Linked DNA regions of Rattus norvegicus. The protein of the gene in region 1 interacts with the protein of each later gene in a pairwise test. Links are inferred from orthologs where the notes say so. Each region holds a gene or a part of one and is shown on either strand. Other genes may lie near its edges.

Evidence for each region.
Region 2: the proteins of Ppp1r18 (region 1) and Stx11 interact in binary tests that used the Homo sapiens proteins (3 or more experiments, as listed by UniProt). The two-hybrid records come from large-scale screens. The link is inferred for Rattus norvegicus from reciprocal best matches to the Homo sapiens genes PPP1R18 and STX11.
Region 3: the proteins of Ppp1r18 (region 1) and Fsd2 interact in binary tests that used the Homo sapiens proteins (3 or more experiments, as listed by UniProt). The two-hybrid records come from large-scale screens. The link is inferred for Rattus norvegicus from reciprocal best matches to the Homo sapiens genes PPP1R18 and FSD2.

What each region holds. Positions count from the first base shown.
Region 1 is NC_086038.1:2,889,026-2,894,440, reverse strand, and holds the start of Ppp1r18 (phostensin), read left to right. Parts: upstream 1-2,111; 5' UTR 2,112-2,156; intron 2,157-3,155; 5' UTR 3,156-3,160; coding exon 3,161-4,726; intron 4,727-5,415. Other genes in the region: Nrm (nurim), read left to right, coding at 1-141, 441-722.
Region 2 is NC_086019.1:9,136,988-9,142,405, forward strand, and holds the start of Stx11 (syntaxin-11), read right to left. Parts: upstream 3,233-5,418; 5' UTR 3,164-3,232; exon of another isoform or gene 3,041-3,163; intron 1-3,040. UniProt on the Homo sapiens protein: SNARE that acts to regulate protein transport between late endosomes and the trans-Golgi network.
Region 3 is NC_086019.1:144,912,303-144,917,124, reverse strand, and holds part of Fsd2 (fibronectin type III and SPRY domain-containing protein 2), read left to right. Parts: coding exon 1-41; intron 42-1,809; coding exon 1,810-1,965; intron 1,966-4,103; coding exon 4,104-4,238; intron 4,239-4,822.

The DNA.
Region 1 (5,415 bases):
CCAGTGTTGTGGGAGGCTCGGGCCGAACCGTGGGCCACCTGGGTGCCTCTCCTCTGCTTTGTCCTCCACGTTGTTTCCTGGCTCCTTATCTTCAGCATTCTTCTGGTCTTTGACTACGCTGAACTGATGGGCCTCAAACAGGTGAGGCTCCCACACCCCCACCTGAGACCTGTGCCTGCAAGTCTCTCCCTCCTGTACTCTTCTGACTTCTCTTGTCCCTTGCCTTCTTGTATGATCGTTTTCCTTCAGCCTGCCTTCAAAGGCCAGTGACTGTGGTCACCTGGGCTTGAGGATGCTGCCCGGACCAGAGAGACCTGTGTTGGGGTGGAGTCTCAGAAGGGATCCTGGGCCTGATTTTCTAAGATGGTGGTGCCAGCCAGGAAGAGGACAGAGGCAACTGAGAAAGGAGGCTTGACTCATTTCCATGATGTGTCTTCTAGGTTTATTACCATGTGCTGGGACTGGGCGAGCCTCTGTCTCTGAAGTCTCCTCGGGCTCTAAGACTCTTTTCTCACCTTCGACACCCAGTGTGTGTGGAACTGTTGACTGTGCTGTGGGTGGTTCCCACTTTGGGCACGGACCGCCTCCTGCTGGCTCTTCTCTTTACTCTCTACCTGGGCTTGGCTCACGGGCTTGACCAGCAAGATCTCCGCTACCTTCGGTCTCAGCTACAAAGAAAACTCCAGCTTCTCTCCAGACCCCAGGATGGGGAAGCAGAGTGAGGAGCTGGTTCTAAGCCCTGTACTTCCTCTCCACCTCAAAAATCAAATCCCTTAGCATCCAGGCTGCATCTGCTTCAGACCAGAGGTTGGAAGTCATGCTTTGAAGGGGCTGTCCCTTCTCTTGCTTGAGAACTCAGTTCTAGGGTCCTGATCCTGGACTCTAAATTCAGTTTCCACCACTGGCCTTCAGAGTCTGCTTCTCACCAACCAACCAAGAAATAAACTCAAGAGCCTCCTTTTCTCTTCAGAGCATGACCTCCACACACACACAGGGTCAGCCTTAGCACTCCATCCCCTTGTTATTGGCTCTGCACCTCAGGGATTCCCTTCCGTGTTTCCACCTCGAGGAGCTATGTCAGGGCCTATCTGAAAGTTTGTAGGTAATGGCTCTTTTGTACTGCGGCTGTGGTTCCTCCCCACCACTGCCTTAGTTTTTCCACCTCATCAGCTCTGCGGTGCTGTCTTCTACAGCGATATCTCCCGTTTTTTTGTTTTGTTTTGTTTTGTTTTTTTTTTTAACTCGGGTTGACTCGGGGCTCCCTCCTCTCCCAAAGGACATGCGCTGCAGAAAAATTAAAATTTTATACATATGACACCCAGTTGTCTGTCCATGACTCTCAAGCCGCAGGACCAATTGGGGGGAGGGGGGGAGGAAGATTAGGCCAAGTTTTTGTGGCGATAGCCAAAGCACTCTAGGACGGATCCCTGGGCTGGGGCCACACCCCATGGACCCGCCCCATCTCTCAGTCCTCCAGTCCTGTTCCCTCCAAATATGAAAGTCTCTCCGCGTATAGATCAGGGAACCCGTGGGAGACAGAATAACTCTCTGGGAGGGGAGCGAACTCCCAAAGCTATTCGCCTCAGACCCCAGGGCCTGGCAGCCGCCTTCTCTGCCACGGTAACAAAGACTAGCCAGGGAAAGAAAAGGCGTGGGGAGGAGCAGCTAGAGATGGGAAGGGCGGGTCCGACTCCAAGCAGCTGCCGCTTCCTCTCCATGTCCCTTAGGGGGCCTGAGTCACGGGCCGCCGCCCCGGGTCGGCCTATTGGAGCACTGGGGTCTGGACACCCCGCTTCTCTAGGGCTGCAAGGAAGGAAGCGGGTGAAGGTCTCAGGAGACAGACAACCGAGAAAAAGGGGATTGCTACGGCGGGAGAGAAGTCCCACCAGAGTCCCACGCGGGAAGGAGGGCAGCGAAGCCCCGCCCTTCGCCGGGCTCCTCCCTGCGCCCCCTTCCTTCGCCCCATTGTCCGTAGACAAAGCGGTCGCCGCCCCCGGCTGGCCCCCTGTCTGCGTCTCCGTCCCTCCTCCTGGGTTCCCCCTTCCCTCCTCCTCTGTTTCCCTCCCTCCCTCCGGATCTCCCTTCGCCTCTCTCCTCCTCTTCCTCTCTCCCGACGCCCGACTCCACTGCACCTCCTCCTAGGGACCCCAAGGCGTGTAAGTTGACTGTAGGGCTCCCACTTTAAGGGAAGTGCCTCGTGGCTCTAAATCTCCCTTGGAGTGCCTCCCCTTTGTGCACAGATTGTCCGTTCAGTCCTCTCGGGTGCACGTCCCACTGGGTCAAGGTCCCCTGAGAGCCGGGTCCCTGGTTGGGGGACATCAGAGGCGCGATGCGGGTCCTCGTCGCGCCCGTGTTCTGGGGGCGCATCTGGTGGAGAGGCCGGCGAGATTGTAGGGACTGGACGCGGGTGGACGCCAGGGTTCTGGGAATGCATAGGCTGCCACACTTGCTCGGGTACCAAAAGTCCCCGAGGAGGGTATTTCCCCTGACCCGCCTCGGGGGCGGGATAGGCAAGTGGGGTAGGGGCCGGGCTGAGGGGCGGGGCCGAGCGCCGCTGGGAAGGCAGCCGGGACCTGCCGAGGCCCCGCGCGCAGAGGCGCCGGCGCCCTTGCCCGTTTCCCCGTCTCCCCTTCTCCCCTGGACCTCTGTCCTCCTCATCTAGCCTCACCTCCTCACATCTCGTCCGACCTCTTCGCCCCTCGCCTGCTGCTTCTCTCTTCCCATTTATCTCCCCTGGGTACCGGGGAAGCAGTCTCGACTGAACCCTCTCACTTCTCGGCCCCGGCTCCTCCGGCTCCTCGCTCTCCTGCTTTTCCTTACCTCCCCTTTTCATATCTCAGGGACCGTCTGGTGCCCACAAACCCCAATCTGGCTCTGCCTCTGCCCGGAATCTCGACTCTTCCTCTCCCATTATCCCCACCCCCAACTTGGCACCCGGCTTTTCTCCTCACTTTTTCAGTTCCTGACTCTTTTGCCCTCCTTCCTCTCACGGCCTTCCTCTATTTTCATTCTTAACTCTACAGTCCCTCTCTGCCCTTCTTAGTTCCTTCCCTCATCACTTCCTCCCTCCCCCCACCCCCATTCTCAGTCTCTGGGCTTCTCTGAAGCTCACCCTTCCTGTTCCCGTCCCCCAATACTCTCTCCTTCACTTCCAGCGACCATGACCGCTATCCCAGATTGGAAGCTACAGTTGCTAGCCCGGCGGAGGCAGGAGGAGGCAGCGGTTCGTGGCCGTGAGAAAGCAGAACGGGATCGCTTATCCCAGATGCCAGCCTGGAAGCGGGGAATTCTGGAACGACGCAGAGCCAAGTTGGGCCTACCTCCTGGAGAGGGGAGCCCTGTGCCTGGGAATGCAGAGGCTGGACCTCCAGACCCGGATGAATCTTCTGTCCTTTTGGAGGCTATTGGGCCAGTACATCAGAACCGATTCATCCAACAGGAGCGACAGCGGCAGCAGCAGCAGCAGCAGCAGCGAAACGAGGTGCTTGGTGATAGGAAGGCTGGGCCTCTGGAGGCTCTAGAACGGAGATCAAGTCCTGGTAATTTAAGAGATCAGAGCCCTAAGGGAAGAGAGTCAAGAGAAGAGAGGCTAAGTCCCAGGGAGGCCAGAGATAGGAAGCTGGTGATAGGAGGAACCCAAGAGTCAAGTTCGAGGTCTTTGGAGACTGGAGACTGGAGGCAGAGCCCAGCAGAGGCCAGAGACCTGGATTCCAGACCAGCTGAGGCTCAGAAATGGAGGCTGAGCCCTGGAGAAACTCCAGAGGAGAATCTGAGATTAGCAGGTTCTGGAGATCACAGTCCCAAGAGAAAAGAGGTATTGGAAAGCAGACTGAGCCCTGGGGAGTCTGGCGACCAGAAGACCAGTCTGACAGAGGCCCATAAATGGAATCTTGACTCAAGAGAAGCCCAGAAACAGAGCTTGGTACAGCTGGAGGCCACGGAGTGGAGGCTGAAGTCAAGTGAAGAGAGAAAAGACTACTTGGAGGAGTGTGGGAGTGAGGAAGAGAAATTGGGTTCAGGGATTGCCCCAGACCAGCCTTCAGTGACAAAGGAGGTTCAAGACACCACCTCTAGAGAAGTGGAGACTGCCGAGCAGAGGCCCACTGAAGGCTGGAAATGGACCCTAAACTCTGGGAAAGCTCGAGAACGGACACCTTGGGACATAGAGACGCAAATTCATAAGGCAGATCCTCCAGCATCTTCAGAGAAGCACCCGGGACCTTCTGCTGTGGAGGCTGGAGGGGAGGCTGAGAAGGAGGAGGCGGGGGCTCAGAGCAGGCCTCTGAGAGCCCAGCAGAACCGCTGCTCTGGGCCCTCCCCCCTCCCACCAGAGCACTCTGGGACGGAAGGCTCCAGACAGCAGGAAGAGGAAGCGGCAGAACCCCGGCCCCCAGCACCAGCCCCTCTGTCTCCCCCACCCTCGGCCCCAACTGCCCCCCAACCCTCTGGGGATCCCCTCATGAGCCGTCTGTTCTATGGGGTGAAACCAGGACCGGGGGTGGGGGCCCCCCGACGCAGTGGACACACCTTCACTGTCAACCCACGGAGGTGTGTGCCCCCTGCCAGCCCAGCCCCTCCAGTCAACCCTGCCACAGCTGATGCTGCAGGGTCTGGATCTGGCAAGAAGCGGTACCCAACTGCAGAGGAGATCTTGGTGCTGGGGGGCTACCTCCGTCTCAGCCGCAGCTGCCTTGTCAAGGGATCCCCTGAAAGACATCACAAACAGGTAAGAGAGCTACCACGCCTGACTGGGTAGAAGTCTCTTTCTAGTTCTGACTGGATGACTTTTTTATATGCCTGTGCCTCTTCTATTCTTTTTATTCTTGCCAACTCCCTTCCTCCCCCTGCACACACCCTTCCTCCGGGTGGCCTTCCTTTGCCATTCGTTTTGGAGCCCCAAGGATTCCGTTCACTCAACTGCTATGTTGGGGTGTGTCGCTTTCAGGGTGTGTCCACCCTAGTTCTTTCTTTGCCCACTCTCTCAGTCCCCTCTCCTCTTCTTCCTTTGGGTTTTGACCCAGTTAAACCCTTATGGTAAGAGAGAAGAGATAACCCACCCGTGAAGCTGTGGTGAGAATAACTCGGGGGGATGGGGGACAGAGAATGTAGAAGGAGAAGTTCAGGGAAGTTGGGATGAAGGTCTCTGGCCCCAAGAAAGAAGGGCCAGAACTAAACGAGGACATCCCAGAACAGAGGCGGGGGTGGGGTGGGGCTATGGAACAGAGCTGGCTGAGGAGCTGAGAGGAGTTTAGACCCCAAGTCAGCCCCCACTCCCCACAAGAAGAGGCCATTTGAAGTGGGTGACCTCAGGGTCACCTACCCCTCCCCCCCAACTGGGCAAATGTTAGACACTGCTTCCTTCTCTCAGGGGACAAGAACAGCCTTCTCTTCCAAAATATCTCAGTCCCTTCCCCC
Region 2 (5,418 bases), on another chromosome or scaffold:
TTAGATTACAGGTGACAGCCTTGTGCTCGTGTGTCAAGCACTTTACAACCTGAGCTGCCCCCTTCGTTTCTGCTTTGTTTTAAACACGTCTCTCCTGGTGTTTGTTTTCTCTGAGGCCTCCACAGAATAAAGCCCTGGAGCCTCCATGGGTCTATGTGGTCCTCTTCTCTTATCTTTCCCCCTTCACCTTTCTGCCCCCCCTTCTACCTTAAACCCCAGCCCCCAGGAAACAGGCTTTCTTGACCACAGAAACTGTTTCTGTCCTTGGCACTGCTGTTCCTTCTGCTGGGTCACCTTCCAATCCAAGCTCCTGGACAACCCTCATCTACAGTTAGGCTCACTGTTTAATAAATGCTTTCTTTCCACTAACCACGAGTCAGATGGGTACCCAAGCCCAGGAACGCCATACTGAATAACACTTCATCTTTTTTCTTTCCTCTAGAAGATGTGGCTCTGAGGCTGCGGAGGGAGCGATGAGACAGAGGTGAAAGATGTGGTAATGGAGCCTTTTACTAGTTGGCCACCTCAGAGGACTGGGAAATTAACCCTCAGGGATCTGAGCCAAGAGACTGTGGTGAACGCCTGACACCTATTTCTGCTGTTCTCCGTGCATGCGTATTTAAGATAAAGTTTAAATTCATAAATTATGCACAGTAAGAGATGAACAAGAATTAATAGTGGAGCAATTACAACGATATGGTTCTAATTAATTTGGTGTGGATGTATTCCCTCTCTCAGAGCATCATCTCACTGCCAAGTGTGGTGGCACACACCTTTAATACGAGTTCTCAGGAGGCAGAAGCGGGCAGAGAGATAGCTGTGGATTCTAGGTCAGCCAGGGCTACGCGGTGAGACCACGTCTCAAGTAAAATAAATAGATGCATACTATTATTGCTGGAACTTTCTATTTCACGTTTCAGAGCTCGGGTAATAAAAATCAAGGAAGTGAAGCCAGTCCTCAGATAAGGAACAACCGATGAGCAGAAAGCCACCAATGGCTCGTAAGTCACTCCCTGTTGTTTAAAAGACACAGGAAAGTGCCCATAAGTGCCCAGGGATGATAACAGACTGGGTTTGCTTTCACACAGCTACCGAGCAATACAAAACACGGTTAATTCAAACACTTTAAACGCCACGCCTCACTAGTATGTTCTTTAAATCATACACATATGCACATACAAATATGCTTTTCAAATCATGTATGTATTGAGTGAAAACCTGGCTGCCAACCAAGACAAGCAGATGATGGGAACCCAGACTTTCCTTTGCTGTCCCAAGAGTGATCCAGGATATTCTGATCCTCCACACTGGGGCGCCTCCTTTGGGTGTAAATTTCTCACAGCACCTGCTGGCATTTCTTCTAGGCTCTGCCCCACAGTTACCTGGCAACAGCCAAATATACCTGACTCAGTATAAAAGGGGCTGCTTGCCCCCTCCTCACTCTTTTGCTCTTTGTCCCTTTTCTCCCCATTCTCCTCTACCCGCCTCTATACCTGATCAAAGCCTGCCTCTACTCTCTATTCTTCCTCCTTCTCTTCCTCCTCCTCCTCCTTCCTCTCTCTCTGTCTCTGTCTCTGTCTCTCTCTGTGTCTCTCTCTGTCTCTGTTTCTCTCTGTCTCTCTGTCTCTGTCTCTGTCTCTGTCTCTGTCTCTGTCTCTGTCTCTCTCTCTCTCTCTCTCCTTTCTCTGTTTCTTCTACCCCGTCCACTCCCCTCCCCATGCCCTAAATAAACTCTATTCTATACTCTTATACTATACCATGTATGGATGGTCCCTCAGGGGAAAGGGATGCCTCAGCATGGACCCACAGAGGCACCCCCTTCCCCCACACCTCTACTAAACATATCCCTGACTTCTTTTTCTTTTTTATAAAACACAATAGCACCCATCTCACAATGTTGGATTTCCAGGAAAATCAGCTCAGCTGTGGCTCTGGCTGTCAGGATAGCACTGTGCCTGGGATTGTACACATGGAACTTGAGGAAAAGAACAGACCAGAACCTTGTAACTGCTGTCTAGGGCTGACCTCAGCTCAGCCAAGATACACAGTTATTCTTGCCTCTGCTTAGCTTCTAGATAGGGAAGTCTGTTTCTAAGAGCATATTAATGTCTGGCTCTAGCAACCATCTACTTTCTTCAAAAGCTTCTCTCTATATTTTTTAAAGTACTAACTTGGTAAAAAAAATAAACTTTCTGAAATATTTTAAATTTCGGAGTAACTTACAATCACTCCACTAAATGCCCAGTTTCTACCAACCAGTGAAAACAAATGGTTATTGGATAATGGAATTAATTTTCTCTTCAGCTTCTGTGGGAAAGCACATGATTTTAAGGGTTATCTCAGATCGGCCTAGTGACCCTAGCTGGCATGTTGTCCCATCAGACGCTCTAGGAAACTGAAAACTTGAATAGCTACTTCCTAGGCCGCCTGCCCCAGTTTGACAGCACCAGACTCATCTCCGTTCTTATTCTAAGTACAGGGATCCAACCTCGCTTTTCAAAAGCGTATTAACAAAGCCTTGCAATTATAGTCGCCTTCTGACTCATTTGTGGATACCCGTGTAGAAACAACAGCTCCTCCCTCTGCTGAGAAATGCTCTACTAAGTGTGAGAGAGCCACAGGAAGTAAAACGCAGGTCTCAGCTGGTCTCGGCCAAAGAAGCCAAAAGAATTCCGTAGTGTGGTTCTTTAAGCAAAGCCACCAGATCGCTCCCCCCTAAAACAAACTCCCCCAAATCTTCTGTGCGGGCTGTTTCAACGCCTTATCAATGTTCCCATATTTCCTGGCTCCTGAGTCATACTGTCAAGTTCAAGTGGAGAAGTGCCCATTCTGATGTGCTTGAGAAAGTGGCAACCAAACGGAAAAGAAGCACCTCCATTCAATAAAACAATAAAACTGACTACACCAGTCATTTCTGAAGCACTTCTGATAAAGCCTTAGATTCTCAAAGACTTAAAAAGCTTTTGGCTCTAGGAGTGAAACCCAAAGCCGCGTCCTGAAGGTACCTAGAGGCGCAGAGGGAACCACACCCCAAACCCACCTGCTGCTGGGCAGCATCCCTGCCCTGGGCCAGTGAGGTCCGCCACTCCAGCCAGCCCCGCACCCGGGTCCCCGATGCCCAAAGAGTTTGAGAACCAAAGCACACTCCCGTGACGAAACGAACCGTGATCCGGCGGGGCGCTGATCCAGCGTCCGGACGCCGGGAGGACACGCAATGCTCGCGTCCCGGAGGCTCTGCCTCTTCTGCTTCTTGATGGCCAGGGCTGCGCTTCTCAGCCGGGTCCGAGCTCTGCGCCACCCCGGCCGCATCTGGCGCTGCTGGCTCCGCCCCCACCGCGCTGAGCCTGCACAGCTGGGGGACCAGGCCCCGCCCCGGGGACGCCCTGGGCTGGGCGCGCAGTTTCTCGTCCTCACGGACGAGAGTCGCCACGGTGCGGGTGGCTGAGAACCTAGACACGAGCCTCCCTCCACTGCTGTGCGCCCCGAGATGCTGCGGGCGACCGTGTGGACCACCCGGGAAACTTCCTCTGTCTTCTTCGGTGCTCTGGGATGGAGAGATGGGCGGAGCGGGATTCGTCGGACTTTCCAAGGGAAAACCCCTCGGCATGAATGACATTTGCAGTCCAGAGCATTTCCGAGGCTAGGACGCTAGAAACCGTTTCTGAGCGTGGGTGTGGCTGCGCCTGCAGAGACCCGCGCGATGGTTGAACCGGAGGTTGTGGATCTTGAAGACACTGAGCCCCGCCTTCCACTAGTCCCTTCCCGCCTGCTGTCAGTGGGGCATCCACGGGTACTGCCACGACCTCGTCCTCGTAGCCTGACACCCTACTAGAGACTCGGAAAGAGAAAAGGGGCTTTCGGGTGAGCGGATGGGAAGCCTCTGGACAAACACGGCGAAGGCTAACCATCTAAAACAGAAAAATGATGTGTGCATTGATGCTAGGAAGTCACCCAAAGAGCTCCGGGTGCCTAAAGCCGGAAGAATTTGAGGAACGAGGTGGCACTGGATGGTAACACAAAGTTATTCATCTAACGTGAACAGATGGCCGATGAAATAGGTCCACAAGTCTCCGGAGCAGAGCAACTTCAAGCAACCGAAGCAGAAACCCACTTTCTTGGAAAAGAAACTTGTCTCTCTGCACTCAATATAGAGAGCCTGCTCCTCTACATAGGGCTGTACAGAAAGGAGGAGGAAAGTAGTTTTTACCACACAGATAAATGATGTTGTGACAGTGAGCGGAGCTTGCCCCTGGTTCAACAACCACAAATCCACTTGCACACCCCCACTCCCACCCCCACCCCACGAAAATGCCTGACCAATCCTACTCACAGCTGTTGAAAGATCCTACGAGAAAAGAATCTTAACCGGCCACGGAAGATGCTGAGAAGGCTGGGAGGTGGGTTTCGGAATTAAACAAAAACAAATCGGTGGGAGACGGCTCAGAACTTGATGTTCTTGCGGAGGACCTGAGTGCGATTCACAGCACCAACATGGTGCCTCTCCTAACCTCTGTGGGTGCCGGTCGCACACATGATATGTACACGGTAGATGGAGGCAAAACATTCCCACACATAAAATAAAAGGAAAGGAATCTCTGAAAATGGAAACAAAACACTTAACTAAAGATGGAGGGAGGAGGCTGGTTTCTCAGCCAGAATGACTCCATCCTGTTAATGTCGGATCTTGATAGAAGGGGAACCTAGAATAGAAAATAAGGAGAGGCATCAGTTCTGGGACGTGTGTGTGTGTGTGTGTGTGTGTGTGTGTGTGTGTGTGTGTGTATGTGTGTGTGTATGTGTGTGTATGTGTGTGTGCGTGTATGTGTGCGTGTATGTGTGTGTATGTGTGCATATGTGTGTGTATATGTGTGTGTGCATGCATGTATGTGTCTGTGTGTGTGCATGTGTGTGTGTGTGTGTGTGTGTGTGTGTGTGTGTGTATAAATCTTAAAGTGTTCCAAAATGGTTTTTAAACTTGTGCTGGCATGTGAACACGGGCTTTAAGCATGGTATACCAGTGTTTGACCACCTACTGCCAAACCCCTACCACGGATTATTTGAAAAAGAACCTAAACACTGATAATGGGTGCCATTGGCTCTGAGGGAAGAAGCAGAATCCATGATACTTTGATGGGGACCTTTGGGACCTGGAAGGTACAGACGTCAAAGTCCCTGAAGCTGGAACAGACTTGCCTTCCTGGAGGACAATCGGTGCAGGACAGATGCAGAGGGTACGGGTGGCAGGGGTTGGCTAAGGATGGAGAAGAGGGCATGGAGACCTTGACCGTCTCCATTTGGCTTCCACTGAGAAGCGATACAAAGAAGAACCTCTAGGAGAATTGAGACGACCTGACATGGCTTTTCCACCCTCCATGGTCCTGTTGAGGTTAGAGTAGAGACAAAGAGAACCACTTGGAT
Region 3 (4,822 bases), on another chromosome or scaffold:
GGATGTGGAACAGCTGATGGACTCCATCAATACCGTTCCAGGTTTGACTCTGACCTGTGCATCCTCCTCACAGCAGCTCAGGAGAGAGAGAGAAGGAGGGAGGGTGGGAGGGAGGGGGAGAGAGAGAGAGAGAAAGAGAGAGAGGTTTGTGACAATCTGAATGGACTTGAATGGACAGTACGGTGAGTGAAATAAGCCATTCAGAGAAAGATAAACACTGCACGAGTCTCCTTCGGTGAGGGGCCTGAAGCAGTCAAATACACAGAATTGGAAAACAGAATGGCAGCAGGCCAGGACTGGGGAGGGGAAATGAGGACTGCCCAATGAGTAGGACCTAGTTCTGCAAGGTGAATAAGTCTCAGAGATGCGCTGGACAAGCACAGCACCTGGAGTTAACAACATGGTATCCATGGTATCCGTCACTGCCATGGTAACCTTTTCTCCCTCCCGGCCCTCTCTCTGTGTTGGGGCTGACATGCATTCACATGTATTCACATGCACATGGGAGGCCAGAGTGGCATCTTCCTCAATTGCTCTGCACTCATGGTTTGAAAAAGGGTCTCTCACTGAGCCCGGTGCTCCTGGGTTGTCAAGACTGTCCAGACAGTAAGCTTTGAATAGGGTTCCTCCTATTTCAAAGGTATACACTACTGTCTGGCTTTGTATGTGGGCCCTGGGGATCTGAACTCAGGTCCTCGGGCTGATTTGGCAAGCGCTTTACTAACTGAGCAGTGTCTCAGCTCAGGTGTCTTTCTCTTCCAAGGATCAGTAGCATTCCATTGAGTTGCATTTCATCCATAAAAAAGTTCTCTGATCTTGGCCAGTGTGAATAAGGCTACTGGAAATAACTGCAAAATATCTACAATTCCGATTTAATTCTTTTAGATATATACCTAAATGTAGTTACTGAGCCATTTGCCAGTGTCTTCTCTCCCTCACTCCTTTTACAGTGCTGGGGACTGAGCCCAGTAGCTCACATTCGCTCATACGTACTGTATCTCTGGGCTACATTCCCAGCCCCTCTGTTATTTAAGCTGAGGTCTCTCACTGTACTGCCCAGATGCTCTTACCAAACCCTGGCCTCCTGGGTGTGACACCACCAGGCCCCAGCAGTTCCTTATGAGTTTTTTTGGTGATTCACCTTGCTGTTTTCTACAATGGTTGCACAGTACACATGGCCTCCCGTTCTCCAGATCCTTCCCAACACCTGTCATCCTTTGCTTTCTGAGCACAGCTGTTCTGGTAGGTGGGAGAAGATAGCTCACTATGGCCTTTCGAGTTTTGTTCACGTGTTGTTTTTAGTTTTGTTGAGATAGGGTCTAACTCTGTACCCAGCCTACTTCAGAACTCACACTGTGGCCCCCGCTCACCTCACGCTTGTGATCCTTCTGCCTCAGCCTCCCAGGTCCTGGGATGACAGGCACGCACCAGCACACGCGCTCGGGTTATGGTTTTGGCCTGCATTTCCCTCATGATGAGTGATGTGAACACCTGCTCATCCTCTTGGTGGCAGATTCGTGTGTCTTCTTTAGACTGAGCCCTGTTCCAGTCCTTGCTTGCTGTAAAGTGACATTATTTAGGGGCTTGTCGGCTTTGTTCGCCACTGAGTTTTGGAGGTCTTCAGTGTTTTGAATATCAGTTATAAACACTTCCTATCCATCCTCTATGGGCACCAGGCGTGCGCACAGTAACACAGACGGAACACCCATACACACAGAATAATTCAATGAAACAAGAAGTGGCCACTCCCATCCCACTCCTGCACATACAGCTCCTCAGGGCTGTTCCCTCTCTCTTTTCCCTTTTCAGCTCCCTCTGCTCCAGTGATAAATCCCCAGGCACCCAACTCAGCAACTGGCTCCTCGGTGCGTGTGTGCTGGAGTTTATACTCTGATGACACCGTGGAGAGCTATCAGCTGTCCTACAGGCCGGTGCAGGACAGCTCACCTGGCAAGGACCAAGCAGGTAAGGTCTAGGGCCCGACAGAGCTGCTGCTGACCGTAACGCTGCCGGAAATGGCCCCTGGCTTTCTGGTAGCACACTCCACCCCACCCCGGGGAAACGGCTTGTATTAGCCAGAGCTGGGGCCAGCCATCCTTTACCATCAGCCCTTCTCCTGTGAGCAGTGTGTTTACTAGCCACTTGTTGGCTATTTTTTCTTTTCTTTTCTTTTCTTTTTTCTTTCTTTCTTTTTTTTTTTGAGCTGGGGACCAAACCCAGGGCCTTGTGCTTGCTAGGCAAGCGCTCTACCACTGAGCTAAATCCCCAAATCCCCCAAATCCCCAACCCCTATTTTTTCTTGTTACAGTGAACAAATGTCAGCTGAGAAGCAACTTTAGGAAGGGAGGGTCTATTTTGGCTCATGGTTTGACGGTACAGTCCACCACTGCAGGGAGGGCATGGTAGCCAGGGCAGGAGGCAGCTGGTCGCACTGTATCCACAGTCAGGAAGCAGAGACGAAGCCTGGTGTCTACTCACTTTCTCTTTTATATTCAGTCTGGGACCTCAGCCCATCGGATGGTGGCACCCACGTTCAAGATGGGTCATCCCTCCTCTTTGGAAGGGAGCCTCTTTGGAAATGCCTTCTTAGACATGCCCAGAGGCCTATCTCTTCAGTGATTCTAAATCTTATCAAGTTGAAATATTAGGATTAATCGTCATAGCCAGCTTTGTGTTACGATAACAAAAATCAGAGAGAAATAAAACTTTTTCTTGTTGTTTTTGATTTTTGGAGGATGGGGTTTCTTTGTGTAGCCCTGACTATCCTGGAACTCGCCGTGTAGACCAGATTGGCCTCAAACTCATAGAGATCCACTTGTATCTGCCTCCCTGGTGCTGGAATTAAAGGTGTGTACCACTACCACAATTCAACTATTAAGGAGGAAACTTGATTTTAGCCTACGGTTTCTGTCTTTAGACACAGGGTTTCTTTTTTTGTTTTCTTTTTTTTTTTCGGAACTGGGGACCGAACCCAGGGCCTTGTGCTTGCTAGGCAAGCGCTCTACCGCCGAGCTAAATCCCCAACCCGGTTTCTGTCTTTAATGGCACAGTATTATTGGCACAGTTTGGCATTCAAGAGAAACATGGAGGGGCTGGGGTACAGTACCAATATCCCTTCCAAGGTCACGTTCTCAATGATTTAACTTCCTCCCACAAGGCCCCACCTCCTAAAGGTTTCACCTTCTAGGGTCACGGACAAGGGCCAGCCTCCAACACATAGGTAGCTATTGGGGGCACATGCTTAAACCATAACAAGAAGGCGAGATCAGACTGCAGACACAACTCCCCAAGCCCCACAAACCTGAAGTAATCAGGGCTTTCCAGAGTGAGTCAGGTCAGAGTGGAATTTCTGGGCTTGGCAATCTGCATTTGACTGATGAGGATGGCGGAGGCTCATCGAGGAGCAAGCCATCTAACTATGTCACAGTGAGTGTGGTAGAGCCAGGCTATCAGGTCACTACTCACTGTGGAAGCTCTGCAGTTGGCAGGTAAAAGCTCTGAGTGAAGGGAGGTTACAGCATTTCTGCCCCGGGGACCAGGAAGGAGGAGGTCTTAACAGTTTTTTATTTTTATTTTTATCTTTAACAGTTTTTATTATTTGAAACTTCCATACGTTTATACAATGGATATTGATCATATCTGCCCCCTCTTCCTTCAGAAGCCATCAACTACCTCCACTAGGGGTGGGACCTCCAGGGCCCATCCCCCATCCACACTAGAAATTTGATTGACTAGATCTGTGCGGGTGATCACAGCCGCTGTCAGTTGATGTGTGCAATAGTCATACTATGCTAGAAGTGTTTGGGGGAGGGGTTTGGGGAGGGAGGTGGAGAGCAAGTCCCTCACTATGTCCCAAGCCTCTTTTTGTGTCATATTTGTCACAGGACCACTGCTAAGCTAGTCACCACGGTAAACCCCACTTCAAGGTCTAGGCAACCAGGCCTCTCAGAACACACAGTGCGGCTGCAGGGTTGTGCCTGCAGCGGAGGGAGGAATCTGCAGCCTAGGCTCCTCTTTTACAACAGGGCACAGAAAAGTCCAGTGGCTGTTTAAGGCTTGAATTCTTACATTGTTTTTTTTTTTTCTTTTTCTTTTTCTTCCAGAGTTCACCATGACGGTCAAAGAAACATATTGCTCAGTGAAAAATCTTGAGCCAAATACCCAGTATGAGTTTTGGGTCATAGCTCAAAACAGGACCGGCCCCAGCCCCTCTAGTGAGCACGTAGTGTATATGACAGGTACTGACTGGGTTGTTCATTTTCATTCATGCAGGTTTCTAGATGTGACTGGGTTTTCTGTGTCCTCTGAAGGATAGAAAGAACCGTGTGTGGTTTCCCCCTTGTCGTACTCCTCTTAACACACTAGATCGACCTGCCTGACATGGCAGGGACATTATTTTCATGGTTGGTCTGTTTCCTGCAGTTATACTGACACTTGAGACTTGTGTATTAAGTTACTTTTCTATTGCTGTATTAAAACACCATGTCCAAGGCAACTTAAAGAGGGAAGGGTTTATTTGGGATTACGGCTCTGGGGAGATGAGAGTCCTGGCACAGACATGGCAGCAGGTATATTGGTAGGAGCAGGAAACCCAAGGCTCACATCTTAAACTGCAAGTGGGGAGCAGAGGGAGTGAACTTGAAATGGGGTGACTCTTTACATTCTCAAGCCCACCTAGAGTGACATACCTCCCCCAGCAAGGCTACACTTCCTAAAACTCTCCAAACAGATCTACCGACTGGGAACCGAGCATTTGGATGCAATGATGGATATTTATTATTCAAACCATCACAGGTCTAGCGAGCATCCCCAACCCCAGGAA